4 linked regions of the Mus musculus genome follow. The protein of the gene in region 3 purifies or fractionates together with the protein of the main gene of each other region. This does not show direct contact. Links are inferred from orthologs where the notes say so. Each region holds a gene or a part of one and is shown on either strand. Other genes may lie near its edges. The genes, in order: Mlf2, Bag2, Dnajb6 and Bag3.

Region 1 (7,808 bases), on a different chromosome or scaffold from region 3:
ATCCCCCAATTAAATGCTTTCTTTTATATGCTGCCTTGGTTATGGCGTTTCATCACAGCAAAAGAAACCCTAAGACAGCTGGGCCACATGTGGAGCCAAGATGGCAGAAGGTAGGATTGAGCAGGGTTGAACTGGGGCAAAAGTACAGCCAGAATCTTCACTTTTTTCCATTCTCCTTTATTCCATAAACACCTAGTTACAAGTTGCACAAATCATTAGTTTTTATAAAGGCAGAGAAGGGTAAAGGAAAGTGTTTCTGTGATGGGTGGGGGAAGGGACAAAGAATTGGAACTAGTCCACTTTCTCCACAGCCCTTATAGGACCATGGCACCTGCAGTGGGGCTCTGAGGAAGAGGTGGGCAAGGGTCAGGGGAGCTGAGGGACGGAGATCCCTAAACCCAGAGCTTTCCCCAAAACCCTTCGATGCGTGGCAGGGGCTCGGGAAGATGAGGCGGCTTGGAGATGGAGCAGCAACATGAGAACTCAAGTTAGTGGATACAGGATGGGTGGGACACGCAGTGAGGGGTGAAGATGGAAACGTAGGTAAGGGGGGCAGTAGAAGGCTCTCCCTGAGACCCAGGGAGAGGCGGGGCCAGCTTGCCTGTTAATTTAATATTAAATTGGGATAGAGGTTGGAAAGGACAGTCATTTCAAGGATGGTTACTCAGCCGCTCAGCCTGCACCTGGAGGAAGGAAAGATGAGCCTGTCAGAGAAAGGACACAGAAGTCTGGGGTCAGGAGCATCTTCCAGCCACTCAGAAGGAGCAAGTCTCCTGTCCCACGACAGCTTAACTACATTGATCTGCCAGCCAGCCTCCTCTGGTCTGTCACATTCCCACTATTCCCTCTCAGGCACTTACATGAGAAGCTGAGAGCCTGGGGCCTTCACCAGTCATAACGACGGGACTGTCGGGAGGGGGAGTCCTCAGGTCCCTGGATCGCCAGGCGGGGAGGCCCCTCAGCCCTTCGCCCCCCACCCACAGATGCCTCATGCCGTCGAAATTCCAGAGGACGCTGCTGTCTGTATCGGGATGTCTCCCTTCTCCATTCATCATCAAATGCTGCTGCCTCACCTAAAGAGGACAGAGAGCAGCCATGGAAGCCACAGTATTCTGAGATCAGAAACCAGGGCAAAGGTTGAGATCATGCATGGGAGAATGGGGGTTGGGAGCCATCTTAGCTTCAACACAGTTCCTGGATGCCACTGGCAAGCCTGAGGCACAACTACTGGGGTTACACACCATGGGGAGGCACAATTACTGGAGTTATACATCACGAAAGCTAATAAAGCACTCATTTGAGAAAGACAAAGTAAAGGGTGGAAAAGAAAAGCCACCAATCCCGATAGAGGAAACTACAACCATCAGCACCTGACGTCAGTCAAGCTCTGCCCCCTCCCTGGCAACACCTGACTCAGCCCTGAAGCTGGCAACAGAGCCTAAGCACAGGGCTCACCCACAGCTCTGCCTGAGATACCTGTGGGATGGTAGAGAAAGCTATGCTCCAGTCTACAGCAACTAGCTCAGGGACTGCTGCCCAGAAGAAGACAGGCTCACTCACTTTCATCCAGGTTGATGTAGTCCTGCCGCTCTTCCTGGTCCCCTGTGCGGTGGTTTCGGGAGCGCTGGAGGATGTGAGCCCTATCCCGAATGTGATGCCCAATGGACATCTGCTCTAGACCACTGTCTGAGTCCCGGACAGTCCTCCGTGTCTCCCGGATCTGGGACGAGGTGAATAGGCTCATTCACTTCTCCCCACAAAGCCCTGGCTACATCTCCCCGGGACGAACCAGCCACCCACGACCCAGTCCTGAAAACAGATGACCCTGGTTCCTGTGGATGCCGATCCATCCTACCTCCTCTGAGATAGAGGGGTTCCTTACTCACCCCGCCTGGGGCAGAGCGCATCTCCGACGTCTCCTGGTAAACCTTGGGCGCGCCGTCCCCAGTGTTGGAGTAGGAGATAACAGTGGAGGAGGAGAAGGTCTGGCAGTTGCCCCCTGCAGCCATGTGCTCCTGAGGAGGGACTGAATGAGGGCCTACTCTGCAGAAGGGAGCTCCCTTCAGCTGCTGGCTCTTGCTACATCTTCCTCAAAATACGTGAGGATGGGAAACTCGCATCACAACCGCCCCGATTCCTCAGGCCCAACACTAGCATACGTAATCACTCATGGGTCTAAGAACAAACACAGGACCCCTGGTGCTCTGACTCAACTTAGTCACTAGCTCACCCCACACCCCCAACCATGTTGGCTGCTACGGAGATCAAGGCAGGGGAAGACTATGGGGCAAGTCATACCATGTTCCCGATCATGTCGTTCATCATCCCAAACATGTCCATGAAACCGCCGGACTGGGGAAAGATGAGAGTCCAGAAGACTAGTCAGCGGTTTGGGGCCAGCCACTCACCTGAGGACAGACCCCTTTTCCTTCTTACATCTAGCCTGACCACTCAAGTTCCTCCCCATGAACTGCTGGCTACCTTCTCCGGCTCTGTGACCGCCCTAATGCTTCTCCTGCCTGCCGTCCCAATCTTTTTTTTTTTTTTTTAAATTTGGTTTTTTTTGAGACAGGGTTTCTCTGTGTAGCCCTGGCTGTCCAGGAACTCACTCTGTAGACCAGGCTGGCCTCGGAACTCAGAAATCCGCCTGCCTCTGCCTCCAGAGTGCTGGGATTAAAGGCGTTCGCCACCACACCCAGCTCATCCCGATCTTTAAGGAAGTGACCCAAAGGCAATGAATTAAAACCTCTGATCACGCTAAATGTTGATTGACAGGGCTTGCCTTTAACCCAGCACTGAGAGGCAGAGGTAAACAGAGCTGAGTTTGAGGGCAGCCTGGTTTACAGAGTGAGTTCCAGGACAGCCAGGACTGTTATAGAGAAACTTGGTCTCAAAAAAAAAAAAAAAAAAAAAAACAAAAAAAAAAAAAAACAAAAAAAAACCAAAAAACCCCTCTGAATATTTAGAGCTGTAAAAGAACCCCAAACTTTCCCTCCTCAAAAGAACCGCTGTACATTTTTACTTTCCCCAGTGATTAAGAACTTCTGAGTGTCAGTAGCATTTGAGTGTTCTAGTTATTATCTTTCTGTGTATGAGTGTTTTGTCTGCATGTACGTCTGCTCTCTACATTCATGCAATGACGGTGGAGAACAGAAGATGGCATCAGATGCCCTAAGACTACAAATACAGACAGTTGTGAGCTGCCATGTGGGTGCTGGGAATCAAACCCTGGTTGTCTGGAAGAACAGCCAGGTGCTCTTAACTCGGGAGCCATTTCTGCAGCCCTAGCTCCTTAACTTATAGTCAATGGGCTCTGAACCATGTCAACTATCCAAAGAGAAGATTTTTAAGACCACCAGAGTGGTGCATTTGGAAATAACATTTAAGGGGTGTGTGTGTGTGTGTGTGTGTGTGTGTGTGTGTGTGTGTGCGCGCGCGCACGTGAGTGTATGCACTTGTGCAAGAGATACAGGAAGAGAAGACAGGGACTCACCATTCCCAACATCCCGAAGGGAGAGACAGCCCCAGCCTACAAGACGAGAAACTGAAGTTAGAACTACACCCTACCAACTGTATGTACCAAAGGAGGTCAGTGCCTCCGTTCCCCCCTTCCTTCTTTCCACAGGAGTCACACAGCCCCTTTCCCAGACTCCTGACCCCACTCGTCTGCCTCCCACGCAGGTCATGTCCCTTTAAAGCTGGTTGTAGGGCAAGAACTGCAGCATACTTAACTAATCACCCCAGGTCTCGATATGTTCCAACTGTTACCTGCATCCTGCGGCTGGCAGGCCTGGTTGCTGGCATGTTACCATCTGTGATGCTCAGGAAGGGGCTATATCCAAAGCCGCCTGACAACATGCGGCTCATGTGCTGACGGTGAATTGCGAAGGGGTCCCTGCGGAGTGAGCATACACTATAGAAGGCAGATTAACCCCCAGCCTTCTTCACCTCCCCGAAATGAAGTCAGGGTACACAGTGGCACGGATGCCGGCTTCCCTCTGAGAGCGGCAGCTGAGTATCCAGCTAATTCTAACTGGTTCCAGCCAAGGGAACCAACTCAAAGGTCTGCCTGAACTGCTCAGACCTGAATCCGAATGGGCTGAGGGCGCGAGGGGGAGGGAATTCTCACATCAGGAACATGGGATCCTCAGGCTCCACGTCCCTCATGAAGCGGAACATCGTGATCTCAGCTCCAGGGGGCTCCACACTGTGAAGATACGGAGGCTGTGTTTCCTGCAGGCGGCCAGGCTTATGCACACCAGCTCAGTGTTGCTACTCTTAAGGCTGCCTCTTGCATACACTATCACTGACCCCTCCAAACTCCAGGGAAGATCCTTCGCCAGGTGAGCCATATAACCTATGAGACCTGAGAGCCAGCAGCTCTCCAAGCCGGTCATGGAATTTTTCCCAAGCCTCTTAGTGGTGCCCCTCCACCCCCGCCCGCCATCCTCTCTTCCCCGAGCCACGGTCAGCTCCTCCTCCGACGCCAGACTCGATGAGAATCTCGAACGGCGGCCCGCCACCCCATTAATGACCCCCAACTACTCCGCCTTCTGCTGGCACTGGGCGCTACCAGGCCTCCCCGGGCAGGCCTCACTGCCCACCGATCCGGGCCGCCACTGCCCCAGCCCGTGCCTCCCGCCGGGCGAGCCGGAGAGGAAGGTCCACTCCCGGGATCGCATCCCTGCAGCCGTGCGGGCCGCGGCGCCCTGGCCTCACCGGTCCCCGACTCCGGCTCAGCGGCCCATCCGGCCGGCCTCTCCTCGGGGCGCTGCAGGAGCAGGGTCGCGGCCCGGGACGCAAGGATTGGTCCGCGCGGCAGCTTCTCGCCTCCCGCACCGCCTCCTGCCTTCGCCTGCCACCTCCGTACCCCCGCCCTCGGCCCGAGAAGCCGATCTTCGGTCAGGCCCGAACGGAAGTGACGTCACGACGGACGGCCCCGGGGGCGGGCTGCGGGAGCTCCGCCCACCTGCTTGGGAGGGAGGGCGGCGCGCGCGCCGTGGAGCCCCGGAGGGCGGGTCCTCTGGGGCGGGTGGGAGGTGTCATTAAGCTGGCTCGGGGATCTGGGGACAGGAAGAGGCTCCTGCAAAGGTGGGGGGGGGCGGAGCGGAATCGGGAGGGACCGGCTGAGCGCAACGTGGGGGCAGGGTGTGCCGCACCTTTTTTGCGGGGGGGGGGGGGGAGAGGCGGGCTGTCTGGGGGCGATCGGTGGGGCGGATCCCTGCGGGGACCTTTAAACACACTGCAGGAGGGGCGCTTAACCAGGGGAGCGCGTGGGCCTGTCCCTCTGGAGAGACGCTCGGGCGGGCGGTGTCCTCCGAGTGACGCAGAGAAGGAGGTGACAATTTAGCTCAGGTCTAGTTAAGCCTTGGAAAAGGCCAACCAGGGAAGGGAATCCAGGTTGGGAGTTTGGCCGCCAGAGGGCGATCCTGGGCCGGGCTGGATCCTTAGCTCCTTAGGACTCGGTGTTGGCTTAGGCTTCTGGACCACTCCAGGACCTGTCTGTGAAGGGTTGGCCTGGGCAAAGGCGTTAGTTCTGAAGTCTGTTTGCTTTTTGTTGTCGTTTTTTGGTTTTGGTTTTAGTGCTCAGGACCCAACTCAGGACCTTGGGCATACCAAGCACATGCCCTACCACTAAGCTATAGTCCAGTTCCTTTAGGTCGTAGGTCTTTAAAACTTTCTTTGTTCTGAGCAGGTAGATAGGTCAAGGGACTAAAGTTTAGAAGAATAAAGGGGTGGAGAGCTAAATTAAGCAGAATCACCCAGGGGTGGAGCTAAAAAGTAAGCCCAAGAGGGCTGACTCCAAAGCCAGAGACTGGTATTTTGACATACTAATTGTCTTGCACAAAATCTGGCTGAGCTGGAGAGAAGAGCCCTCCCCTTTGGGTCAGAGGATTTGAACTGTATTGGGTAGACTTTGACCCACAGAGATCCAAACTCAAAACTGTCCCAAGTTCTTTACTCTGGCTGTCAGCCACATTGGTACCGTGTGGAACCTGATCTGAAGAGAAAGGTTTATTCTAACCAACTCCCTGAGGGAAAAGGGTCAGTGGTTACTCAGGAAAAGATTGGGAGCAGAGACTCTCAGCTTCTTTCGATTTGATCATTGCTAGTGGGAAAAAAATAGTGCTAAGAGAAGAAACAGTGATATAGTTAACGTAAGCTGACAGATTGGCAAAGTGAAGCCAAAAAAAAAAAAAAAAAGGAGAAAATGTGTTTTTCATTGATATTTGATATATAAGACCTTCTTTAAATGCCTCTTGGTATCCCACCCGACAATTGTCCTTTCTTCTTGCTCTAAAGAAAAGCACTTTGACATTCCATCCAGAGTACCTCAGAGCTGCAGAGCCAGCTCAGTGGCTAAACATGCCTGCTGGTTGGTGGGGCACTGGGAGGGAGGCAGAAAAAGGATGATCTCTGTGAGTTAGAAGCTGACTTGGGCTACATAGCTTATCTAGAAGAAAAACAAAAGCATAAAATTAAAAACAAACAAACAAAAAACCCAAAAGCATAAAATTTAAAAAATAAATAAATAAAGCTTGCTGCTATTCCAGAGCAACCCAGGATGGCTGCAGAGTTGCAGCTCCAGCAGCTCTAACATGCACTGCAGAAATCAAGGGTGTGTACACACCTGGCATACTGGCACACATCTACACGGAAAATAAATCTGAAAAAGGAGCTTGCTACCTTGCAGAGGACCTTGTTCCAGGACCCACTTTGTGACTCTCAATCATCAATCGGTAAAACCCCAGTTCCAGGCTATCCAATGCCCTCTTTGGGCCTCTAGAGGGATTGTGTACACATTGTACACACCTATAGGCAAAAATACATAGAAAATAAAAATAAATCTGGTTATATAAAAGGGTTACTTTGGCCAGTGGTGACCTTTAATCCCAGCATTCAGGAGGCAGAGGCAGGTGGATCTCGGTGTTTGAGGTCAGCCTGGTATGGGAGGGGAGCAAGGGGGAGGAGAAGAGCAATCAAGCTCCGGAGAGCTGGGACAGCCAAGGCTACATCCTTCTCTAGTCTATAATATAGTCCACCTTCCCCCTAGGCCATTGTAAATACTTGTGTATGGGTGTAACTCAGCTATCTATAGTTCTAAGTATCTACTCTGGTTCCTCCTTGGATCACAAACTTACTTCTTCCTAGATAATGGTAAATTCCTGTGTAAGGCAGTGACTTAGCTATCCATGCCCAAGGTCGGATCAATAACTGCCTAGAATCTAACTTAGCTATATGTCAAAATATCAATCCTTAGGAGCACTTGTAATAAAGGAATATTAAGGGAAAGCACACAGATCTGTTCACCAACTAAAGCAAGGACATTGGAGCATTCGTTATACAGGATGCCAAGGTTCCAGGAGACTAAGTTTCCATGAACTTTTCGCCTCGGGACAGCACCCAGGTTTTTGGGGCCTGTCGCGCTTGTCACTACTGGAGTGGATGTAGCAGGCTGGGGAGATGGCTCAGCAGTTAAGAGCACTGACTGCTCTTCCAGAGGTCCTGAGTTCTAATCCCAGCAACCACATGGTGGCTCACAACCATCTGTAATGGGATCTAATGCACTCTTCTGGTGTGTCTGAAGACAGTTACAGTGTATTTGTATAAACAGAAACAAATAATATTTAAAAAAGAAAAGAAAACTCGTCTTGAAAAAACAAACAAAACAAAAGAATGTTACTTCAATGAGCATTCTGCCACCTACACTTAAAGATATCCTACACAAATGTTCTTTTTTCTTGTCTCTTTTGAAAGCAAGTCTCCCACACTCTCACTATGTAGCTCTGGGACTAAAGGTATATGCT
Region 2 (7,766 bases), on a different chromosome or scaffold from region 3:
GTTTCTTAAACACAAATCACTGATTAAAAAGAAAAAAAGAAGCTGGGCGTGGTGGCGCACACCTTTAATCCCAGCACTCAGGAGGCAGAGGCAGGCAGATTTCTGAGTTCGAGGCCAGCCTGGTCTACAGAGTGAGTTCCAGGACAGCCAGGGCTACACAGAGAAACCCTGTCTCGAAAAAAAAAGACCTAACACAGTCAGTTGGTCTAAACCTGTGGGTCACAACCCCTCTGGGGAATCAAACAACCCTTTCACAGGGGTCCTCTAAGATCACTGGGGAACGCAGATTGACATTACAATTCATAACAGTAGCAAAACTACAGGTCGATGGTTGGGGGACACATCACAACACGAGGAACTGTATGAAAGGGTTCCAGTGTTAGGAAGTCAAGATCTTGCCTACAGCTTGATCTTTTTTTTTTTTAATGATTTATTTATTTATTTACTTAGTGTATGAGTGTCTATCCACATGTATGCCCAAATACCAGAAGAGGGCATCAGACCCCATTACAGATGGTGTGAGCTACCATGTGGTTGCTGGGAATTGAACTCAGGACCTAGGGAAGAACAGCCAGTGCTCTTAACTGCTGAGCCATCTCTCCAGCCCCCTACAGCTTGATCTTAATAGGTATTTTCACAACTGAGAGTTCTTTCTCCCACATGGCTGTAACTTGTGTTCTTTTCTTTAAAACTAGCCAGGAGAACACTGTTTTGTTTTACACACACACACACACACACACACACACACACCCCTACCTCTTCTTTTTTGAGACAGGACCTCCTATATCCCAGGCTGGCTTGGAACACACTTGAACTGCTGCTTCATCAGCTTCTGCCCGCTAGTGCTGGTTTTACAAACATATCCCATGCCTGGTTTATCAGTCTTGGTGATGGAACCTAGGGCTTCACGGTTACTAAGTCAGCATTCTTCACTGCTTGGCTTGTTTAAGACCATTCGCACTGTTTATCGGCTATTGCTGTACTTAAAACTCGATTCACAAAAAGTTGCCTACGTAGCTTTCCCGTTACTTTGCGATTAGTGACTGATCCTTAAATACTGCCTGCCTCCCTCTCTATCATTCCTCAAGTAGCTGGGACAGACATATATAAACACAATCTTAATACACTCAAGCGATGACTCTTCTCTTGTTGGCAAGGGGCAGTTCTGTGTGGACTGGAATCCAGGGAGCAGCTACGTGTGTTACCTGTTCAAAATGTGAAAGGACACACCCTCACAAAGCAGCTGACTGGGCAGAGCTTCTAGAAAGTTCCACATCACCTTAAGCAGGCTTTGGCAAAGGTATTGTAGAAAGAATTTTCACAAGCATAAAGCTGGAGCACCCTCATCTGGTCCCCAGCCCTCAGGTGTCTCCTGAGCCTGCCGTGGCGGTGGAAGTATAAAATGTCAGGTGCAGGCAGCCGTCCCTAAACAGCAGCGCACAAAACTGCAAGCCAACCACCAGCTGTGTGAGGAGTTACTGCTGATTTTGCGGAAATTTCCTCCTCCACACCCCACCAGACACCAAATATAAGGAGACCTCGGCTGGAGCCGAACAAAGCAAAGCAGGATTGAAGTTTAACAAGGTGACTGACCGAACTGGCTGAGAAATTCAGCACGAGTCAACCGATACTTATGACGTCAGCACACGCCGGTTTCACAGTGGCCAATCTGCACGTACTGTCATGAACACGGGCTCATTTGCCAATGACAAAATTGCGTGCTTTCATAAACAGGGAGGTGGCCGCCACTCATCTCTGTGGATTTATGCGAAGGGGGCTTTTTCTAAAACACATTCTTAAACTCATAGACCAGGCTCCATGTGAGACCCTCAGCATCCCGATACTGTCAGGAATTGGTTTTCCCAGTCATCAAAATGCTTGTATTTCATTCACTGTCAGCGTGAATGAACCACTAACCAGTAAGGCAAGGCACCTAGTCCCTCAGTTTCTTCCACCCCTATCCCCGGACAGGGTCTCATGTGTCCCAGGCTGACCCAGAACTCCTTATGTAGCCCAGGATGACCAAATCCTCACAACTCTAGGATTTGGGCTACAGGCATGAACCACTATGCTGGTTTTCTGAAGCCAGAGATCAAACCTATGTTTGTGAATGTGCTAAACAAACATCGTTCCAATTAAGACCCATCGCAGCCCAGCGCTCTCATTGCTAAAAGATAATGCCTTCCTTTCCCAGGGGCTTTATAAGGTTGAAATTACAGTGGTTGAAATTACAGTGTACACGAAAAGTGTTCCTTCTAAATTACAGACTGTTACTCCAAATTAAGTATGGTGTCAACTTGCTTCGTGGGTCCTGGAACACTGGCGCATCCGAACAGGAACCTTAAACAGTAAGAAACCAAAGCAGGCGGGTGGCCCGTTTCCCTGGCTCCCGCTGGCAGTCACCCTTTCCTGGCTGAGTGAACTGGAAAGGAGCTGCTCACTGCGGGCGGGATCGGTTTTGGGAGATGTGTAAAGAGCCAGCCTTCCAGCCCTGTCAATCATTTATCCCTCCTTGGCCAATGTCCAAACCCCAGGCCCGGAGCAGCTACTCGATAACTGGCACGTTCTAGGTCTTCAAGGTTTACTGAATCAAATGCTAAATCGATTTTCCCCTCCTTTAGTAAAATCATATTCATTCATATATCAGCTGGACAGTTTGAAAAGTGATATTCAAGACCAGGACAAATGGTGTTGGTCTGAGCAGCCGGTCTCCCCGTGTTCCTAGGCGAAGTCCACTGCTCTGGACTGAGACACACTGTATATATCTGAGCTTCAAGTTCTCATCTGTACAATACAGATAACGGTAACTCCCACAGAGACACGCGGCCTAGCCTACAGACTAATGCTAACGTGGATTATTTACAACCACTGAAAAGTACAGTATTTAGCCTCAGCATGTGCAGAGTCCCCATAGAACTGGTCATGAAAATCAGGAAAGGACAGGATTATCTTTTTAGAGAAAGCACCACAGGAAAGGAGATGTAGTAAAAAAAAAATTTTTTTTAATGTAAGGATATTTTAATGTAAAAATGTTTTTAATTGTAATATTATAAGCCATTAAAAACCAATGGCACCCTTTACCAGCTTGTAAAACTGGGCTAAACATTTAAAAGCATTTTCAATGCCCGGAAGATCAGTGCATCCTGCAGGACAGAAAGCCTTGGGTGTGGTTTCAGTCTTACAAGGGAGCAGGCTTTTGCTGTTCACAGAACCCATTCACCTGAATGGAAGATGCGCACTGGCGACAATCCAGTGATTTCCGGTAGTACCCCGTCCACTGTTGTCCTCAGACGTGTACACTAAGAAAGCTAGGGGGAAGTCACAGGAGCATCGTCCCCATTTTTAAAAAGTCTAATTTTGAATACTGTCATGCTCTGTGGCACTGTCCAGATGGCTTCTAAAAAGGGCCCCTAAGCCTTACCAGGCAGCATCTCTTTCTATTTCTTTGCCCCTTCTGACACACTTACTTCTAAGTGCTCATTACATTTTTAAGGGAGAAACAAGACTTACAGAACTCTGCAGTTACTGGTAAAGGCCTTGAACCATTAAACACAGAAATAAAACCCCTTCAGCGCAACTGTTAATAAGTAACGTAATTTAATCGCTTATGTTTGGTAGTCAGGATTCCTTTGATAGTAATCAGACACTAGAATGTCTATGCAAACTCCAGACTTTCAAGAGGCCCCCAGGAGAAGAGCAAGGACTCGGCACACAGGCTTGATTAAGTAAAGGTTCAGAACAATGACTCAGCTTGAAGAGTCACAACTTCCTGAACCCTTTCAAGAAAAAAAATCGGAGCAGTTGGGAATATACTGTCAAAGGTTAGAGCCTACCTCGCACAAGGAAACATTCTCGCCCCCTTTCACAGCGCAGGTCCCTTTGTCTCCCGGAGTTGGGGGATATAGGGTTCAGGTTTCTTTTGTGGCTACTCCACAGTCAGTGAAAGTTTTCTCACCTTCTGGCTCTTTTCTCCTAATAGTAACAGTAATGAGCGCCTCCCGTGTAACGAACACTGCTTGCATTTTTTTTTTCCTGTGCAGACACACTTCCCTGTGTTTGGTGGCTGCGTGGAGGGAGATTCATCTCCCTCTTATAATTTTGGGTCATAGTGTTCTGCTTACGCAGAACCCGGAGAAAACTAGGGAACAACGTGTGTGTCAGGGCATCTTGATAAGATTTTCATGGAACACCTGCACATGATCAAAACTTGCACAACTTTGAAGACATTAACATTTCCACCAGATACATAAGGCTCACGTGGTTAAAGCCAACCAAGTGTTCACAGCATTCGTTAGTAGTATTCATGAGTTAGAAATTTTACGACAAGGCTGTCCCCGTGTCAGAATCTTAGGGAGAGTGTGACTCCTGCCTTTGGTGTTTTCGGGCCTGCGATTGGCACTTCCAAGGTGTCAGCCGTGTCTTCTAAATGTACAACAAACACGGACAGACTGCAGAGGGCATTGCACGTGGTTGAGAGAATGAAGGATGGTATCCAACTTCGGTGTACCTCGCGCGGTCTCTCATGAGTCCGATTCTCGATGATCCCCAGGAGGGGCCGTCCTGGATACTACCACCCCCCCCTCCCTTACACTTGTATTACTATGAAGTGATCTGGGGCAAAGAAACTTACTCCAGTGTGGGGTGAGGGGGGGGGGGGCACACCAACCTGCTGCCTCCCTCCTGGAAGCAGAAAAGTTAAAGGCAGAGGGGGACCGCGCAGAAGATTCTGGAAGTTCTGCAAGCCGCACTCGCTCGCCAGTCTGCCGGGCCGGGGGAGGGGAGCCCAACCGGAGCGCGCCCCCGCCCGCGCTCGCCCCTGTGCGCGCCCCGCGGCCCTCACCTGAGCTCCAGCTGGTCCAGACTCTCCAGCAGGCGGCTGGAGCGGTCGGCCATGGAAGACGAGCGGCAGAAGCGGCCCTCGTGGGCCTTGGCGCTGATCTTCGCCTGGGCCATGAGCTCCGGGGGTCCTCGGCGTCCGCGGGCAGCAGTGGCGCGAGCCGCACGTCGCCGTCACCACGGGCGCCGCTGACGCGGACGGCACCGCCCCCACCTCCCCGGCTCTCCACCCCCGAGGCCGTGCGGCCAAACAAGGGCAGGCGCGGTCGCAGCCGCGGGCACGCCAGGGTGGGGGACCCTGCCCCGGCGCCCAGGGCCTCGGCCGGTCCTCCCAGCACCCACGGTTCACAGCAAGGACGAAGTGGGTGCAGCCCGTGAGAAGAGGAGACAATCCAGTGCACCCTAGGGCAGTCTCTACTTGTTCGACCTGTCCGGTGACCAGGCAGGCTCGGGAGAGGACAGGGAAAGCCTAGACCACAGGCTCCAAATAAGGAGAAGCCAAGTGGATCCGTGTTGTCTCCCCTTTCCAATGAAAGGATTATTACTATCACACATAACTTGTTTAAACCCTCTGCGAATGATATTCAGTAGGCTTAGATGTCAGAAGCTGCAGAGGTCAGTAGGTCTGAAATACGAAGCCGCATCTTAAAGTTGTGTTTTGTCCTCTCAGTGTACAGGGTACAGAAAATGGGAAACAAAGTACATTTACATCCTTTACCCAGAACTCAAAGCCATTAGATTACTGAACAGAGACAAGCCCCTTAAGTACAGTTTCTAATCCTGTCCCCACCACACCCCGAACACATCTTAATACTAATAAACGGTGGATTATCTTGGCTTCATTAAACACTGTCATCTCACGATACAACCGTGAAATCTGAACATTTTGTGGACATCTTGAAAGTCTGAACTTGGGCAGGTCTCAGGTCTAATGCTCCTCTGGAGGCTGACAAGTTGTGTAACGTGGGCCAGGGTGGATTCAAGGCTAGGCTGGGTAGCTTCAGCAAGTGTCAAAGGAAAAATAAAAGTGGCCGCAGACATAGCTCTGTTAGGTTGGCAACGAGGCCAGGCAGATGTGGTGGTTTGAATGAGATGCCATCTGTGCTCTCTAGCACTTGAACACTGGGGAGGCCTGGGTGTGGCCTTGCTGAAGGAAGTGTATCACTCCCCGTGGGCAGGTTTCAGAAGACCAAGCTATTCCCAGTGTCTCTCTGCCTCTGCTTGGGTTTGAGATCTGAGTGCTCAGGACATGTCTCTGCAGCCATCATAGACTCAGACCCTCTGTATCTAAGTCCAATTAAATGCTTTCTTTTACAAGTTGTCTTGGTGGAGGTGTTTTATCACAGCAGTAGGAAAGTAACTAAAATGGCAGGGATCTTCATATGTTTGTTTAAATGTCTCCACACGTTGAACACGCACAGAGGCATCTCCAGTCTAAGTTACTACGGATATGCTCCTGTCTAATGACACGCCTATGCTCTTTTCCTTATATAAATTATGACTTTAAACTGAGCATGCTTTGGAATAGGCATGTTCCTTCATGAATATGTACAGGATTCCTGAAAGAAAAAAAAAAAAAATCCCTCAGTGCTACCTGAGCTTGTGGAGAGCTTTGCTTTGGTAATGGCTCTGGAACTCTTCCTGCCTGGTGCAGGTTGCAAATCTTTGTCTTTTGCATCCTGGCGGTGCCTAGTTTGGCTTCACAATCAGCAAAACAGGTAATCTTTAGTCACCTAGCCTAGAATCACCCTGGGCTCTTTCACTCTTGTATCCTAGATACAATCCATGAATAGGTACCAGTTCTACCTTCAGAATCCTCCTTGATCCCACCGACTCGTCCTTACCTGGATGACTGCAGAGCCCCGTGTGCTCTCTCACATGTGTCTTAAAGAGCCTCTCCCATCAACACAGCATTCAAGCACAGTAGGCTGTACCATAAGCTCTCCCAAACCTCCAGTGGCTCATCAGGGTAAACAAGGCAGCATCTCTCAAAGTCAGGGGCCATCTTGTAAGCTTTTCACATGGCTCTTTCGACTCTTTGCTTAAGCTCATTTACCAGTGAAAATTTCCCTGGATGTTAAACATGTCTTCTGAGTTGAGCCCAGTGGTGGCTATCTGTAATTCCAGCAAGCTGGAGGCTAACCTAGGCTGCACAGCAAGATGCTGCCCCAGATTTGATGATCCCCAGAGCTGCAGTAAGCTCAGTCCCAACCCTGTACATTACCCTCCCTTCTTCAGTCGGCACGTCACCCAACAGATATGGAATGTTTTTGGTTTTTCTGGTTTTGTTTGTTTTCTGAGACAGGGTTTCTCTGTGTAGCCCTGGCTGTCCTGGAACTCACTCTATAGACCAGACTGGCCTGGAACTCAGAAATCTGCCTGCCTCTGCCTCCCGAGTGCTGGGATTAAAGGCGTGTGCCACCACTGCCCGGCCAATAGTTTTATCTGCTTACTTATTGTCTAATACTGTCCATATAGCCCACTCTCCATGTCAGAGCAGTAGAGCAATAGAGCAGGAGCGCTCAAGATCACGGTCACATCTCAGGTACTTCAAGCAATTGCTCTCACATGGTAGATTCACAATAACTTGCGAAAAGATGAATTAATAATGGAATGAAAATATCAATATTACAAATATACTTGTGATAGTAATGTACAACTTTGCTATTAATGACTCCTGTTTAAATTACAAAGCAGTTTTCTAACATTTTACGTGACTTAGTGAGAGAAAAGCAGTTAGTGATGATGACATGGCCTCTTCTTAGTAGTCTCTCAAATACCCTTGCCAAACCACGGTGTTCAGCTCAAAATGATGTGCGTGCTGTGCAGCCGCTGAGCCACATTCTTAACCCTGAAGCTCCCTCAGAGACGGTCGCTACACACTGTGCTTAGATGAGCTCCACGTCTTTCAGGGAAGCCCATTTTGCTAT
Region 3 (7,067 bases):
TAGCACTTGGGAGGCAGAGGCAGGTGGATTTCTGAGTTTGAGGACAGCCTGGTCTACAAAGTGAGTTCCAGGACAGCCAGGGCTACATAGAGAAACCTTGTCTCCAAAAACCAAAACAAAAAATCAAAACAAAACAAAATAAAAAAACAACAAAAAAACTCACCTCAATTTGGAAAGTAGAGATGCTATACAAATGGGATATTTGAGGTTTGGGAAATGGCTAAGTTAGTACCCCCACAGCATTAAGATTAAAGACATGCCACGAATCAGGTTTTATTTTGTGGGCATGTGCGTGCACTCATAGACAAGAAGAGGGCATTAGATTAATTACCTGGAGTTGGAGTGAGAACTGGGAAGCAAACTGTAAAGCATGAGTTTTTAACCACAGGCCTTTAGTCTTACCTCTGTAGAGTGACCAAGTGATTTAGACACTGTTAAATGAAAGCACATTATTTAGAGAACAGTAAGACCACATATCAGGTAGTTAGAAGCCGAATGGTTTCCTTGTGCTGCTCTGTGGAGACAGGTGAAGCCGTGCTCTGTCCCTGGATTTCAGCTAAAGAATTACTCTAGTCTGCATGATAGTATTAGATAGAGCAGTGTTGTGTTGGTTTGGTAGTTGGGTGCTGGACAGAGAGGTTATTTATATAAGACTGGTCAACTATATTTTTCCCTTTCTTGTGAGTAACTTAATGCAACAGCCGATGCCATTCCCATGAGAGAGCCATGGTGCTGAGGCCGACATGCTTCTCAGGCAGAGCTAGTGTGTGTTCATCTTTGTAATCTTGCCTAATACCTGGTGCAGAAATTCATCAGGGAGGGAAGTAACCAAATCTCCCCAAATGCATTGTGGTCTAGGAAAGCAGATGTAGCCAGTCCTTTGGTCAGGTGGCACCTGATCTCTGCCTCAGAGACCAGTGACCTGTTTATATACTATTATGTCATTTCCAAGCATTTTTTTCCTTGATAGATTTGGGGATGCCTCTCCCCCCATTTCTCTGTAGGCCTGGCTGTCCTGAACTTGCCCTGTAGACCAGGTTGGCATAGAAATCAGATCTGCCTGCGTTTTGCATCTCTAGTACTTCGAGTAAAGGTGTGCCCCACCACATGGACGGGAAATGATTCTTGAACCCAGTTTCTGGACAAAAGTCCTGCCTAAGATACAGGCTAGTGACTGGCTACCAGAAGTTCTCTCTGGGCCAGTAGGTGCTGAGAAGGAACCGACTCTCATCCTTCCTCTTGTTTTTCACTCATTGGGCAGTGTTATCATGGGCTGTATTTTTTTATTTGCAGGATTTATTCCAACAGTCAGTTAAAACATGGTGGATTACTATGAAGTGCTGGGCGTGCAGAGACATGCCTCACCTGAGGACATTAAAAAGGCGTAAGTGATTCTATTTCTGAGTTGATAATTCTGTACTGTGGTTCATTGGTAATTGGATAATGTAAAAATTAGGTTTATTTTATGTGTGAATGATTTGCTTGCCTGCATGTATATGTGTGCTCAGTGTTCAAGGAAGAGAGGAGAGTATATGATCTCCTAGAAATGACTTTATAGGTAGTTGCAAATCACCATGTGGGTGCCGGGAATCAAACTTAGGATCTCAGTAAGAGCAACAGGTTCTCTCAAACCCTGAACAAGGCACCCACCCTGTACTGGGATCTAATCTAAGAGACTCATACATGATAGGCAGACACCAGTTTACTGCCCAACACAGACCTAAAGTGGCTTTCAACCCTATGGTTTAGTTCTAGGTTAAAGTGCTAACATTTGTGATCAGACCTGGGGATCATTGGGCATTCTATCTAGTTGGTGATCTTTAGGTTCCTATGAAGAAAGACCCACTCAGTCTTAAAAAATGAGGTAGATGATTCTTCTCTCTTTTTTTTTTTTGTTTGTTTTTTTTTTGTTTGTTTGTTTGTTTGTTTTTCGAGACAGGGTTTCTCTGTATAGCCCTGGCTGTCTTGGAACTCACTTTGTAGACCAGGCTGGCCTAGAACTCAGAAATCCGCCTGCCTCTGCCTCCCGAGTGCTGGGATTAAAGGCGTGCGCCACCACGCCCGGCTGAGGTAGATGATTCTTAGGGTTGACCTGGCTTAGCTTTCACACGCATACATAAACATATTTGTGCACACACACACAAACACATACATCCCCCAAACTTGACAACTTATACTATGTCCCAAAATAGAAATATTAATATTGCCCTTGTGTGCTAGAGGTCCTGGGTTCTCTCTGCAGTTCCTTGTACTATCTATATTTACTTTGTGATAATTTATATTCTGCCTCTCCATGGTGTTTCTGAATTCCAACATAGGCCTGTTGTCTCCACTAAACTATATCTGTAGCTCTTCACCATTATTACTATTTTTCACCATTATTTTTTAAATTGTTGGTATACACTGGGTACTGGTGGCACATTCCTGTAATCATTGTACTAGGAGGCAGAGGCATGCAGATCTTGGTGACTTTGAGACCAGCCTGCCTGGTCTACAAAGTGAATCCAAGACAACCAGGATTCTGTTACACAGAGGGTTGGTGTGTAGCCAGGGGCATACATAACCAGTTGAGTCTTAGTGTTCTAGTTTATTTCTGTTGCTGTGATGAAATACCCAAAAGAAACAGTAGTTAAGGGGTTTATCATGATAGAGGTCAGGTCATATATTCATCACTGTGGAGAAGTCATGGCAGAAGCTTTATACAGCTAGTTACATTATATCTACTATAGTTAAGATTAATGAATGTGTAGATGGCTGTGTTCTTGCTTGTGCTCAGCTTGATTTCTTTGCAGTTTAGTGGTGCTGTCTACGGAATGGTGCTGTACTTAATTTTCCCACATCAGCCTCCTTGAGACCATTCTCCAAGTGATTCTAGGTTGTGTCAAGTTAACGATTACAGTTAACATCACTTCTGGGTTTTCATATGCTCCTTATAAGGTTTAATCAGGACACTGGATACTTGTTTTAATTCCAGTATTGGACATAACTTCCTCTAATGTTATGCTTTAGATTAAAGTTGTGTACATACTAGGTGCCCTATCACTGGCCATACTCTAGCCACAGAAGTTGATATTTCAATTTTGTTTAGACATTAAATCTACAATAGGTAGCTATTTAAATGTTACTAGGAGTCTGGCTTGTGCTATGGGAGATGTTCTTTATATTGATAAGTGGAATATTGGGATGGCTGGGAAAAATAGAAACATGAGGGAATTTATTTAAGTTGTATCTGTTTGGCTCAGAGGGCAAGGATTTGTCGACATTCTGTACATGCTTCACCTGATCACCAGAGCCTATAATTTGGACATTTGGATCATCCCACATACATGTTTTCAAACCAATCTTGCCAATTTCTGCTAGTATCCGAAATTAGAACTTGCTTATTTCATTCTCAAGAAAAGGTGGATTGCTAAGATATTCTTATACCTAATGGTGTAGCCATTTTCTGCTTAAGGGTAGGTGGTTTTTGGTGTTTTTTTTTGTTTTTTTTGTTTTTTTTGTTTTTTTTGTTTTTTTTGTTTTTCGTTTTCTTTTTTTTGTTTTTTTCTTTTTTTTTTTTTTTTTTTGGTTTTTTGAGACAGGGTTTCTCTGTGTAGCCCTGGCTGTCCTGGAACTCACTCTGTAGACCAGGCTGGCCTCGAATTCAGAGATCCACCTGCCTCTGCCTCCCGAGTGCTGGAATTAAAGGCATGGGCCACCACACCCGGCTTCGTTTTCTTTCTTTTTTTTTTTTAATTTTTTGAGACAGGGTTTTTACTGTGTAGCCATCTCAACTCTCAGACCCATTGCTAGAATTAAAGATGTGCTACTCCCTCAGCTAGCTGTTAGGTATTAAAATTCCATGGACTTCATATGTACTCATTATACACCCTTTTTATCTTTCAAGGTATCGAAAACAGGCACTTAAATGGCACCCGGACAAAAATCCTGAAAATAAAGAAGAAGCAGAGCGGAAGTTCAAACAAGTAGCTGAGGCATATGAAGTGTTATCGGATGGTAAGTAAACCTGAGCTCGTGAAGGGCTCTGAGAGTGCATTAGAACAGGGCTTCCTAGAGAGCACAGACACAAAATTTGTTTGCTCCTAGCTAGAGTGTTCCTTCTTCCCTAAAGTTTTAATTTTCTTGTGTACTTTGTATCTGGTACATCTAACCATGGGTGCTGAAGAGCTAGAGTTATAGGCCATGAGCTGTAGACATGTTCTACTGCAGCAGAGTATTGTTAATGGAGTTTTACCTACTTGCACAAGGAAGAGATGCTCCAATTTAGATTTTGACTGACAGACAGGCAGACACACACACACACACACACACACATATCTACCCACCCCACTCTGGGTCTAGATCATAGACATTAGATGCCTCTGTGAAGGTTTTTTGCAGTTTGATGAAGGGTTGGCTGTCAGCTAGGGGCAGCCATCAAATTTGAGTTTGTGGTAAAGGGAAGATTTTGCACCTACAAGGCTGGGAACAGTGCCAGAGACTGGAATAGTACTGCCCACACCCTAAGCACTATCCTGCTGGGTGGCCTGGCATGAGTCAAGCTAGAGGCATTTAAAAGGTTAGGTACTGATTGACTGATGATAGGAAATAATAGGTCACTGTCTTTAAAAAATCTATTTCTAGAAGGAACCTGATCTAAAACTCAATGAGACAGCTTATTGGCATATAGCTCCTTGCATTATGAATACTCTATAAGTCTACCTTCTCCCAGTTTTAAAAACAACCCTTGAAACTTGACAAATATCAATTTCTTTTTTCAATTAATGAAGACATCGCTAGCTGAAAAACTGCAAATGTGCCAAGGTCTTAATACAGTTTGAGCTTTTGAGCTCTAGTGGCTGGAGCCTGGGCTTCAGAGCTTATGTTCTTACAAGGCGGCTTCTTAGTCAAGATGGGGTTGTTCTTCACTTTTGTTTCCCCTGTTGTAGAATATAACATAAGATTTTGGGGGAAGACAGAGTGATGTGGCAGCCGTGCTGTGTCTGTCCTAGAAGCACAAAGGCAGCAAGCAGGGTTCACGCATACCAGCGTAGCACCTGTGAGCCAAGTGAGTGGTCAACTCAGCAAGCAGATCCTGAGTCTGAGCCTGTGTAAATGTAGTACAGGCCTGGCTCCTTTTATGGTATATGCTTATCCACTTCCCATTCTACCAGGGCTTAACATCCACCCCCTGAACTTTGTTGTAAATATTTGTAGCAGTTATAATTAAGTTTGCCAGTTCAGGAGACCTTCCTCCTCTTAAAGTTGAGGGCCTTCGAAATGGATGTAGATTTATAATGGGAAATACTGAATTTTGAGGGTTTGAAAACAAGAACTTACTCATACTGTTTTTCTCACATTTAAAGCTAAAAAGCGGGACATCTACGACAAATATGGCAAAGAAGGATTAAATGGTGGTGGAGGAGGAGGTATGTCAATTTTCTTTTTGGAGACAAAAGGTCTTGGACAAGTTTACATAAATTTTTTCAGTTCTTAAAGTTGTTTGTTTTCGAGACCGGGTTTCTCTGTGTTTTCCAGGGTTTCTTCACTGTCCTGGAACTCACTTTGTAGACCAGGCTGGCCTCAAACTCAGAAATCCACCTCTCTCTGCCTCCCGAGTGCTGGGAACAAAGTGCTGCGCCACCACTGCTTCCGCGTAGTTCTTATGATTTGTACCTGATAGTCAACAGGGATTTGCCTTGAAAGTGTTGAGTTTGTGTAAATGAGGAGAAATAAACATTTAAACATTTAATAAAAATAAACCTGCTTGTTGATCAGGCATGGTGGTACATGCTGAAAATCCTAGCACCTTAGGGGCTAAGGTAGTGTAGTGCCTGTGAGTTGAAAGCCTGCCTGGTGGGTTTTAGATCACTCTATATGATTGTGATTCTTCTGCAGTAAGTCTGCCTCCTTAAAGGATTAAAAATAATTAAAATATATAAAAACTGAACCAAAAGAGAATTTGACAGGAACTTTGAGTTTAAGGCCAGCCTGCTTTGCATAGTGAGGACCTGCTTCAATAAAAGGGAGGGGGGAGAACCAACTACACATTTGTCAGGTTAGGAGAAGTAAGTGGAGATGTCTGCTCTGATAAGATAACCTTACTATGCTTTTAGCAGTGACATTGCCTATTGTGTGGAAATGGTGCTCAGGAGATGAGCTGCCTCATCTTAAAAGGCTTGCTGGGATCTAATATTGTACCTATGGGGAAATTGGTGGAGTCAATATTCTTGGCTTTCATAAGCCTTTATAATTCATGACAAAAACAGTGGACAGTGATTTGATTATGTTAAAGCATCATTGCAGACAGAGACTGAAAAATTCATAGGCCTTAGAGATCTGAGCACTCATGTGGTCAAATGCTAGGCAAATAAGACTCTTGGGCTTTTAGAATCCCAGATGTGTGGAATATGTTCTCTCTCAGACCATGAAATATACAGTAATTTATGAATAAACAGTTGCTTTGAAATATCAGAATTCATAAGCTAAACACTTTATTGTGCTTGTATAGGTGGAATTCATTTTGACAGTCCATTTGAGTTTGGCTTCACATTCCGGAACCCAGATGATGTCTTCAGGGAATTTTTTGGTGGAAGGGACCCATTTTCATTTGACTTCTTTGGTAAGTACCTGCCTGGTCCGTCCTTTGGTCTGGCCTAGTGAGGGCTGATGGTACCATGTTAAATGTTTGCATTTAACATTTTGTTGTGTTACTGAACTCTTGTCTTTTTGGACTAGTGGAGTCGTCAGGCATTTCCTGCCAACCTTTTCAGAGTTTTTTGATTGGTGACTTCAGCAATAAAGATTTTAGGGCATTATTTCCCTCTTCCATGTGTATTATTCTATCCTAGTTAATTTGTTTTTGCTCTCTGGTGAATTCATGGTTGGGACAGGATAAGATGTTGGAAATCTGATCTTAAACATTTATTTCTTGCTTTTGATACTCAGGATTTGAAACCAGGATCTTGGATATACTGACATCTTTAGTATTCACCTACTTCCACTCTACAAGCTAGTTTATTAGTGAGTTTGCGAAACGCACTAAATATCATAGATGCTGGTCCAGAACACACACATGAGTTCCATAA
Region 4 (7,702 bases), on a different chromosome or scaffold from region 3:
TGGTGTCAGTAAAACTCTAACTAAGACAGTTGAATATGGGGTGTCTCAGAAGAAAGGTTGGCCTTGAACAAGGTGGTTTCTGTCACTTAGGCTAATCCCAGAAAACAAGGTTGGTCTACATGAAGGTGAGCATGTTAGTAAACATTTTAAAGCCTATTTCTTCATCCACACAGATTTTAGTAAAAATTCCTGTCTTGTTGGGTGTAGTGGTGCACACCTTTAATCCCGTCACTCAGGAGACGGGGGCAGTCAGATCTCATCAGGTTTGAGAGCATAGTCTATGTATCACATTCCAGGACAGCCGGAGCTACATAGAAAGACTCTTATCTCAAAACAGCAACAACAACGAAATGTCTGTGTTCCTTTGGCACTGCCGACAGAGAAACGGGACACGTCCTCACCGCTTCTCACAGTATTCCCGGCAGTGGGTAGAACCAACTTTTCATGCCTAAACGGAAATGTAAGCGGCACATCATGGCTTCCACCACAAAGATCAAATGTGAGAGCCCACGTAAAGTCATTAACGTAGCACCTGACAGCGATTACCCAATAAGCACTAGCCATTATGAGTGTTGTTTTTAATAATTATTATTTACCACACACTGTGCTGGAGGATGGGGACACGGTGGTGATCAAGATCCTGCTCCTGCTCTTAAAAACTCAGCCCATTAAGTAAATCAAACAAACAAGCATTTACAGTGTAAAGCAATTGGTAGGGTGGGACAGGATGTGGATGGTCAGAGGACTAATGGGGGGGCAGCAGGATGTGTGTATGTGTGTGTGTGTGTGTGTGTGTGTGTGTGTGAAGGAGTGTATGCTAAAGGGAATGCTGGGAAAAGCCAAGCTGCCCAGGAGATGATGGTTGGAGTGGATAGAAGGGTTTCCATCCTGGTGGTGGAAGCAGTGTGTGCAAGATACAGTTCAGCAGGGTCAGCTGAAGTATGGACCAGGGAAAATGAGGAATACACCTTTGTGCACCAGACCAAGGAGAGTGGACTTGGTGGGTGCTTGAAAAGGCCTCTCTGGCTGCTATATGGGCAAGAGGTTTAGAGGCAAGCCCAAAGGCTGAAGAACCCATTAGGGTGCTGTGAAGGATCCAGGTGAAAGCGTAAGATGGCTGGGACGGAAGAAAGAGAAGAGTCACAGAGTCAAGAAATACTTAGCAAGATAGGAATGGATGGTAGGAACGAAGGGGCAATTTGAGGACAAAGTGGGGGTGCGGGAGAGATGACTTAAGAGCATTTGCTACTCTTATAGAGGACCAGGTTCAGTTCCCACAAGGAAGCTATAAACATCTATAACTACAGTTTCAGGGCATGCAATACCCTCTTTGGACCTCGGAAGGCATTGCACAAGCCGGCTCATACATATAAAATAAATCTTTATTTATTTTTTTTAAATATTTTTTAAATAGGGCATTGCTAGGCGTAGTAGATGGTAGTGTGCACCTTTAATCTCAATACTTGGGAGGCAGAACTATATAGATAGACCATATCTTTAAAAAAATATCCACAGCCAAGCAGTGGTGACACATGCCCTTGATCCCAGCACTTGGGAGGCAGAGAGATGGATCTCTGTGAGTTCAAGGTCAGCCTGGTCTACATAATTAGCTAGTTCTAGGACAGCCAAAACTACACAAAGATACCTTGTATTGAAAAACAAGCGAAAAAATTCACTTTGTATTCAGTCTTCAATAAACATCAATCTTTATTCCTTTATTGAAGATGGACTCTGGATTTAGCCACGTGCTGGGTGGGTTCAGGTATAAAGAAGCAAAAGACAGACACTGACCAGTGAGTGAATCTAAGTGTCTAGACCTTTCAATGTGACTATCAAATGATAATAAGTCAATATTCCCACATTTGGGCTTATACAGGTGTGTTTGGTGGCACCAGGCAGTACCTGAAGGCTAACTATGTTAATACTTATACTGAGGCTTTGAGACTTCAAAGTCAGTAAGAAGGTCTTTGGAAGTAAAAAAAATCAGCTTGTTGGAAATGTCTGGCAGAGTCCTCTAGTATTTGCCACAGAGTAAAAATCGGAGGGGAAGAGGCCAGAGATGTATCTTTGAAGGTCCCAGGACATTCTCTGAATCTGAGTCAGGAAATTGGCCTCAGTATTGGTTCCAGGTGTTTCTGAAGTCTAGTCACTGTGCGAAAGTGCCTATATAGAAGGCCAAGAGCACAAAGTTGTCACTTTAGTCCTTGCTTCTTCAGTTTTCCAAAGCAGGCAGGTGAGTTTCCACAGCTCTTTCTTTTTGTTGTGACCTCAGATCAGCATTCCAGAATTTCTCAGAAGTCATAAGGCCCTTGAGAAAAAGTTACTAAAAACGTCACTGCAGGACGCCAGCGTCACTGAGTGTGAAGAGAGAGAAAGAACTAGACTTTCCGAGTTTAAAGATGATTTAGTCCTTACACAAAGGTGGGGCCCCAGGTGTCGGCCCTTGGACTGCTAACCCCGGGACACCCCCACGCGGCACGAAAGAGTGGTGGGGAGTCCGGAGACAGAAACCAGCCAGAGAGCACAAGGACACCGGTGCGTGTCAACCTGGCGCGAGGCGCACAGGCCCCAGGACACACACAGGACAGGGATAGGGAGGGACAGCCTGGGTAGTCTAGGAGAAGGAGGGGCGGGTGACAAATCCCCGCCTCCGATCCCTCCCAAGGTCCCGCCCCGCCGCGATTATAGCCTATGACTCAGGGCGGAGCTCCGCATCCAACCCACGGCGGCCGCCAAGTTCTCTGGATGGGACCAGAAGTTTCTAGCCGGCCAGTTGCTGCCTTCTCTTTATCTCCTCCTTCCCCTTTGGCAGCTAGGAGGCTATTTCCAGACACTTCCACCCCTCTTCGGCCACGTCACCCAGTCCTTTAATTCATAAAGGTGCCCGGCGCCGGCTTCCCGGACACATCGGCTACACAGAGGTGCCCGCACTCCACGACCTCGTGACCCGCGCCCTAGCTCTGCGCCCCGGGCGGACCCTAACCCAGCATGAGCGCCGCCACCCAATCGCCCATGATGCAGATGGCGTCCGGCAACGGAGCCAGCGACCGAGACCCCCTGCCCCCGGGCTGGGAGATCAAAATCGACCCGCAGACCGGCTGGCCCTTCTTCGTGGACCACAACAGCCGCACCACGACGTGGAACGACCCGCGTGTGCCCCCCGAGGGCCCTAAGGTGAGTGGAGCTTGCCGTCCCACCTCGACGGCGAAGGGGCCTGGTCGAGCCAGGGCTATGCGAGTCACCCCACCCCGCGCCCTGCTGCGCAAGGAGAGTCCTTAACCATATCCGCCTCGAACGGGCGTCGGGCCGCAGAGAGCCGCAGGCAGGGTGGCCTTGGACGGTAGCCAGCGGGGTGCGACCCGCGTGGTGACATCGGGTGGTTTTCCACAGCCTCTTGCGAAGGGCGAAGGGCAGTGGTGGCCTGAGCTGCGGTGCGCCGCGTCCCAGGGAAGGGCGACCGGCCTGATGAGCGGCTGAGGCCCAGGCCAGGCCCGGCCGCCGCCTCTCTGTCCCGCGCGTCCCGTGCTGAGACCCTGGGCTCCCTCCGGTGCTGATGGCGCACGGCCAGGATTGAAAGGCTGCTGAGTGGAGTCTCCTGTGGGGATTTCACTTTCAAATTCAGAACTTAGTTGAGGCTTATCTTGAGTTTACTGGATCTTAGGCATAGAGTGACTCAGGAGGCTCGAGTAAATAAGTTATTTTCCCCCATTAAACTTATTATTACTGGTCGAAACTGCTTTCAGTTAGAGAAAATTCTGATACTACCACTATTTTTTTTTAAGATACTCTTTCTGACAGTTCCAAAACTAAAGATCAGACATTGTATCACCATACTTAGCCACTGCCTTAAGACTCACACTGGAGTGAAAGAATGTATTTTTAATGGCGTGATTCCTTGTTGTCCTTTTCAAATACTGGAGTTTTGTTACCAGAAACAGCTGAGGAGTCTGGTGAACACTAGGTGTATGCTTCATTTGCATAGATATTCAGGTTTGTGTACTTCAATCTAAAAAGCAAGAAAAATTGAAAATACAAATTTGGAATGAAGCCCAGCCTGGTTCAGGCCTGTCATCCCAGCACCCAGGAAGCTGTGGCGAGAGGATCTTGAGTTCAAGTCTAGCCAGGGCTATATAATCGGAGTCTATCTCAAAAGTTATTAAGTAATTAAGTTGGAATGAAACTAGCCTGTGTTGCAAAATAAGACCTTGTCTTTTTTTATAAAAAAAAAGAAAAAAAAGATTGAGCTGGGCAGTTGTGGCACACCTCTTTAATCCCAGCACTTGAGAGGCAGAAGCAGGCAGATTTCTGAGTTCAAGGCCAGTCTGGTCTACAGAGTTCCAGGACAGCCAGGGCTACACAGAGAAACCCGATCTCGAAAAACCAATAAAATAAAATAAAAATAAATAAAAATTCGATTGAATTTTGAGTGAAGAACTTAAAAATACAAATTTAGGTAGGATTTTTCTTGTTTGTTTTGTTTTTCTTTTTTTAAAATTAGATATTTTTTTATTTACATTTCAAATTTTATTCCTTTCCTCATTTCCCCTCCGAAAACCCCCCTATCTCATTCCCCCCCTCCCTGCTCATTACCCCACTCACTCCCGCTTCCCTGTCCTGGCATTCCCCTACGCTGGAGCACAGAGCCTTCATAAGACCAAGGGCCTCTCATTGATTTCCCACAAGGCCATCCTCTGCTACATATTGGGCTGGAGCCTTGAGTCCCTCCATGTGTACTCTTTGGTTGGTGGTTTAGTCCCTGGGAGCTCTGGGGGTAGTGGTTGGTTCATATTGTTGTTCCTCCTATGGGGCTGCAAACCCCTTCAGCTCCTTGGGTTGCTTTGCTTTTCAAGACAGGGTTTCTCTGTGTAGTGTTGGCTGACCTGGAACTCACAGAGATCCTCCTGCCTCTGCTTTCTGAGGCATGAGCCACCACCATCCGGCCACGTAGGATCTTTGAAAATATAGTTAACAGAAGTCATATTTAGCATAATGTTCAGTAATAATTTATGTACATTTGGTCCTTTCAAAATGAAAAGTTTGGTAAAGTAAATGCACTTTAAAATAGGACTCTATCATCAATGGGAGGAGAGGCCCTTGGTCCCGTGAAGGTTCTATGCCTCAGTATAGGGGAAGGCCAGGGCCAGGAAGCAGGAGTGGATGGGTTGGTGAGCAGGGGGAGGGGGGAGGGGATGGGAGTTTTCAGAGGGGAAACTAGGAAAGGGGATAACATTTGAAATGTAAATAAAGAAAATATCTAATTAAAAAAGGAAAAAAGAAAAAAAAAAATAGGACTCTACTTTGGGCCTGACCTGGTGGTACACAGCTTTAATCCCAGCTCTCAGAGGCAGAGGCAGGTGGATCTCTGAGTTCAAGGCCAGCTTAGTCAATAGAGAAATGTTGCCTCAAACAAACAAAACAAAACAAGAAGAAATACTCTTAACTTATTACTTTCTGGAAAAAAATAAAAGCAGTAAAGAGTTTATAAATTGTTTGGTATTTTCAAAAACTCACCCAATTAAAAATGCTTTATAAATCATTAACTTAGAAAATTCTAGTTTTCTTTTTATGTGTATGGTGCAAGGGATTGAACCCAGGGCCTTGAGAACTTCAGGCAAACATTTTCCTTATAACTATTGCTACAACTTTAGTATCCAGCAGTGAGCCACATACTTGGCAGTTTACATTTACAAGAAACTAATTGTATATTTATTTCTGGAAATTATTACTACAAGAGGCTGTAATTTGGGGTGGACATAATTGCATGTATCTTTGTGTGTGTGTGTGTGTCTATTTCATACATTATTGGGTAAAAGATTCTCTTTTGAAACTAGCCGTCTTCAGACTGCATAGGGAATAGAAGCCATATAATGTGTGGTATGTTTTGAGGCCTCCTTCCTCTGGCTACAGGCACAGTCTCCGCCCTCTGACACCCGTCACTGGGAGTGAAGATCAAGTTTGAGCCTATACATGCTGGTACTTAGCCAGCACGCTGGGATTTGCTCCAGCCACTAGGTAGCTACTAGGTAGACTAAGTTTCCTAAATCTGCTCGAGATTAAAAAAACCAAAAGGAATTTAACACTGCTCTTATCAAGCAGAAAGTGCGAAATATTAAATCAAGATGTCTTGGGCTTGGAAAAAAATATTTCACCATTATAGTTTTAAACTTGAAAGATCCTTAACAGTGTCCCCTTCCTTCTGTGTGAGGAAATGTAGAAAATTTAAGTGTCTTCCTGAAGGTCACCCATCCAGCACCAATAGCGGGTGTGTGTGTGTGTGTGTGTGTGTGTGTGTGTGTGTGTGTGTGTCAAGTGGACCGACCAGTTAGAAGAGACTGTGCCTGTTCAGAAGTCAGCAGTGGCTTAATTTTTAGGAAGCCGACCCGGACCCGTGCTGACCTGTGCTGTGCTAGCCTGAATTTTGATGGTAGGCTGAGACTAACTCAGGAGAAGGGTGTCCTTCTCCAGATTCATTACTTAAGATAGACTTGCCAGCTTGGTACCAAAGCACAAATAGAAAATGAGCATTTCTGGGGAAGAATCAAATCCCTCAAGCTGTTGCTTGCTTTGAGTCTGGGCTTCACTGCTTGTTTTGTTTTGTTTTGTTTTGTTTTGTTTTGTTTTGTTTTGTTTTGTTTTGTTTTTCAAGACAGGGTTTCTCTGTATAGCCCGGGCTGGCCTGGAACTCACTCTGTAGACCAGGCTGGCCTCGAACTCAGAAATCCGCCTGCCTCTGCCTCCCAAGTGCTGGGATTAAAGGCGTGCGCCACCACACCAGGCTGCTTCACTGCTTTTAAATCCATGCGTTGGTTGTCATAGAACATCCCTGTGACCGGGGCAGGCCAACAACTGGGAAGACCTTTAATATTTTTTGGGTGATTTTGGTTTTGTTTGTTTGTTGGGACAGGGTTTCTCTGTGTCGTCCTGGCTATCCCTGAACTCTGTAGATCAGGCTGGCCTCGAACTCAGAGATCCACCTATCTTTCTGCCTTCCAAGTGCTGGGATTAAAGGCGTCTGTCACCACTGCCTGACCACCTTTATAGTTTATATTAGAAATAGTCTTCTTTATTTTTATGTATGTGTCTGCCCGTGTGTACCTGTGTTAGTTAGCTTCCTTGGAGCTGGAGTTATAGGGGTTGTGAGCCAACTTGTGAATGCTGGGACTCAGACTCAGTCAGGTCCTTTTGAAGGACAGAAAGCACTCCTAAATGCTGAGCCATCACTCTAGCCCCTGAAATAAGCGTAAGGAGAAAGCCTCTGCCTCTAAAACAAAGGCCTATCTGGGAGGAGCTAAGAGACCCTCAGAGTATCCCCCCTTGCCTAGGGGATGCTGTCAGTCAATAAAGAGCCCTTTGATGAGTTGGGATGCCTGTGAAACCCTCTGGATGTTTACAGTCAGAGATGACAAAGATGAGTCCCTTTCAGAAAGTAGGAAATCACCAGCCCTTGGTGCTGTAGTCAGTCCTAAGCTCTAGGAGTTGACTTTCGTTTTCTCTCATGTGGTTATAGCAAATCTTCTACCGCTGGTTTTATACTAAACCGATGACCCTCCGTGTCCCTTAGCCTGTTCCAGCTGGAGGCAGTGATGTCCCCATGCAGACACCTCTGTCCGCAGCCACACCATGCCTCCATCTTACTTTTTTTCCCCACACTTGGCCTATCTACCAATCAGGGAGGTTCACACCAGCTGAGATTCCCTTCTGT

What was found.
Region 1: the proteins of Dnajb6 (region 3) and Mlf2 purify together in Homo sapiens (affinity purification with mass spectrometry; 3 studies listed by BioGRID and IntAct, with this or other methods). This does not show direct contact. The link is inferred for Mus musculus from reciprocal best matches to the Homo sapiens genes DNAJB6 and MLF2.
Region 2: the proteins of Dnajb6 (region 3) and Bag2 purify together in Homo sapiens (affinity purification with mass spectrometry; 4 studies listed by BioGRID and IntAct, with this or other methods). This does not show direct contact. The link is inferred for Mus musculus from reciprocal best matches to the Homo sapiens genes DNAJB6 and BAG2.
Region 4: the proteins of Dnajb6 (region 3) and Bag3 purify together in Homo sapiens (co-immunoprecipitation; 3 studies listed by BioGRID and IntAct, with this or other methods). This does not show direct contact. The link is inferred for Mus musculus from reciprocal best matches to the Homo sapiens genes DNAJB6 and BAG3.

The regions. Positions count from the first base shown.
Region 1 is NC_000072.6:124,928,498-124,936,305, reverse strand, and holds Mlf2 (myeloid leukemia factor 2), read right to left. Parts: upstream 4,919-7,808; 5' UTR 4,720-4,918; intron 4,208-4,719; 5' UTR 4,180-4,207; coding exon 4,130-4,179; intron 3,896-4,129; coding exon 3,769-3,895; intron 3,530-3,768; coding exon 3,494-3,529; intron 2,353-3,493; coding exon 2,299-2,352; intron 2,016-2,298; coding exon 1,887-2,015; intron 1,721-1,886; coding exon 1,561-1,720; intron 1,074-1,560; coding exon 886-1,073; 3' UTR 861-885; intron 705-860; exon of another isoform or gene 684-704; 3' UTR 157-683; downstream 1-156.
Region 2 is NC_000067.6:33,752,739-33,760,504, forward strand, and holds the start of Bag2 (BAG family molecular chaperone regulator 2), read right to left. Parts: upstream 5,013-7,766; 5' UTR 4,954-5,012; coding exon 4,841-4,953; intron 4,829-4,840; exon of another isoform or gene 4,667-4,828; intron 1-4,666. UniProt on the Homo sapiens protein: Co-chaperone for HSP70 and HSC70 chaperone proteins. Acts as a nucleotide-exchange factor (NEF) promoting the release of ADP from the HSP70 and HSC70 proteins thereby triggering client/substrate protein release.
Region 3 is NC_000071.6:29,747,052-29,754,118, forward strand, and holds part of Dnajb6 (dnaJ homolog subfamily B member 6), read left to right. Parts: intron 1-1,293; 5' UTR 1,294-1,319; coding exon 1,320-1,384; intron 1,385-3,886; coding exon 3,887-3,996; intron 3,997-5,345; coding exon 5,346-5,408; intron 5,409-6,490; coding exon 6,491-6,601; exon of another isoform or gene 6,602-7,067. UniProt on the Homo sapiens protein: Has a stimulatory effect on the ATPase activity of HSP70 in a dose-dependent and time-dependent manner and hence acts as a co-chaperone of HSP70. Plays an indispensable role in the organization of KRT8/KRT18 filaments.
Region 4 is NC_000073.6:128,520,871-128,528,572, forward strand, and holds the start of Bag3 (BAG family molecular chaperone regulator 3), read left to right. Parts: upstream 1-2,712; 5' UTR 2,713-2,988; coding exon 2,989-3,174; intron 3,175-7,702. UniProt on the Homo sapiens protein: Co-chaperone and adapter protein that connects different classes of molecular chaperones including heat shock proteins 70 (HSP70s), e.g. HSPA1A/HSP70 or HSPA8/HSC70, and small heat shock proteins (sHSPs), e.g. HSPB8.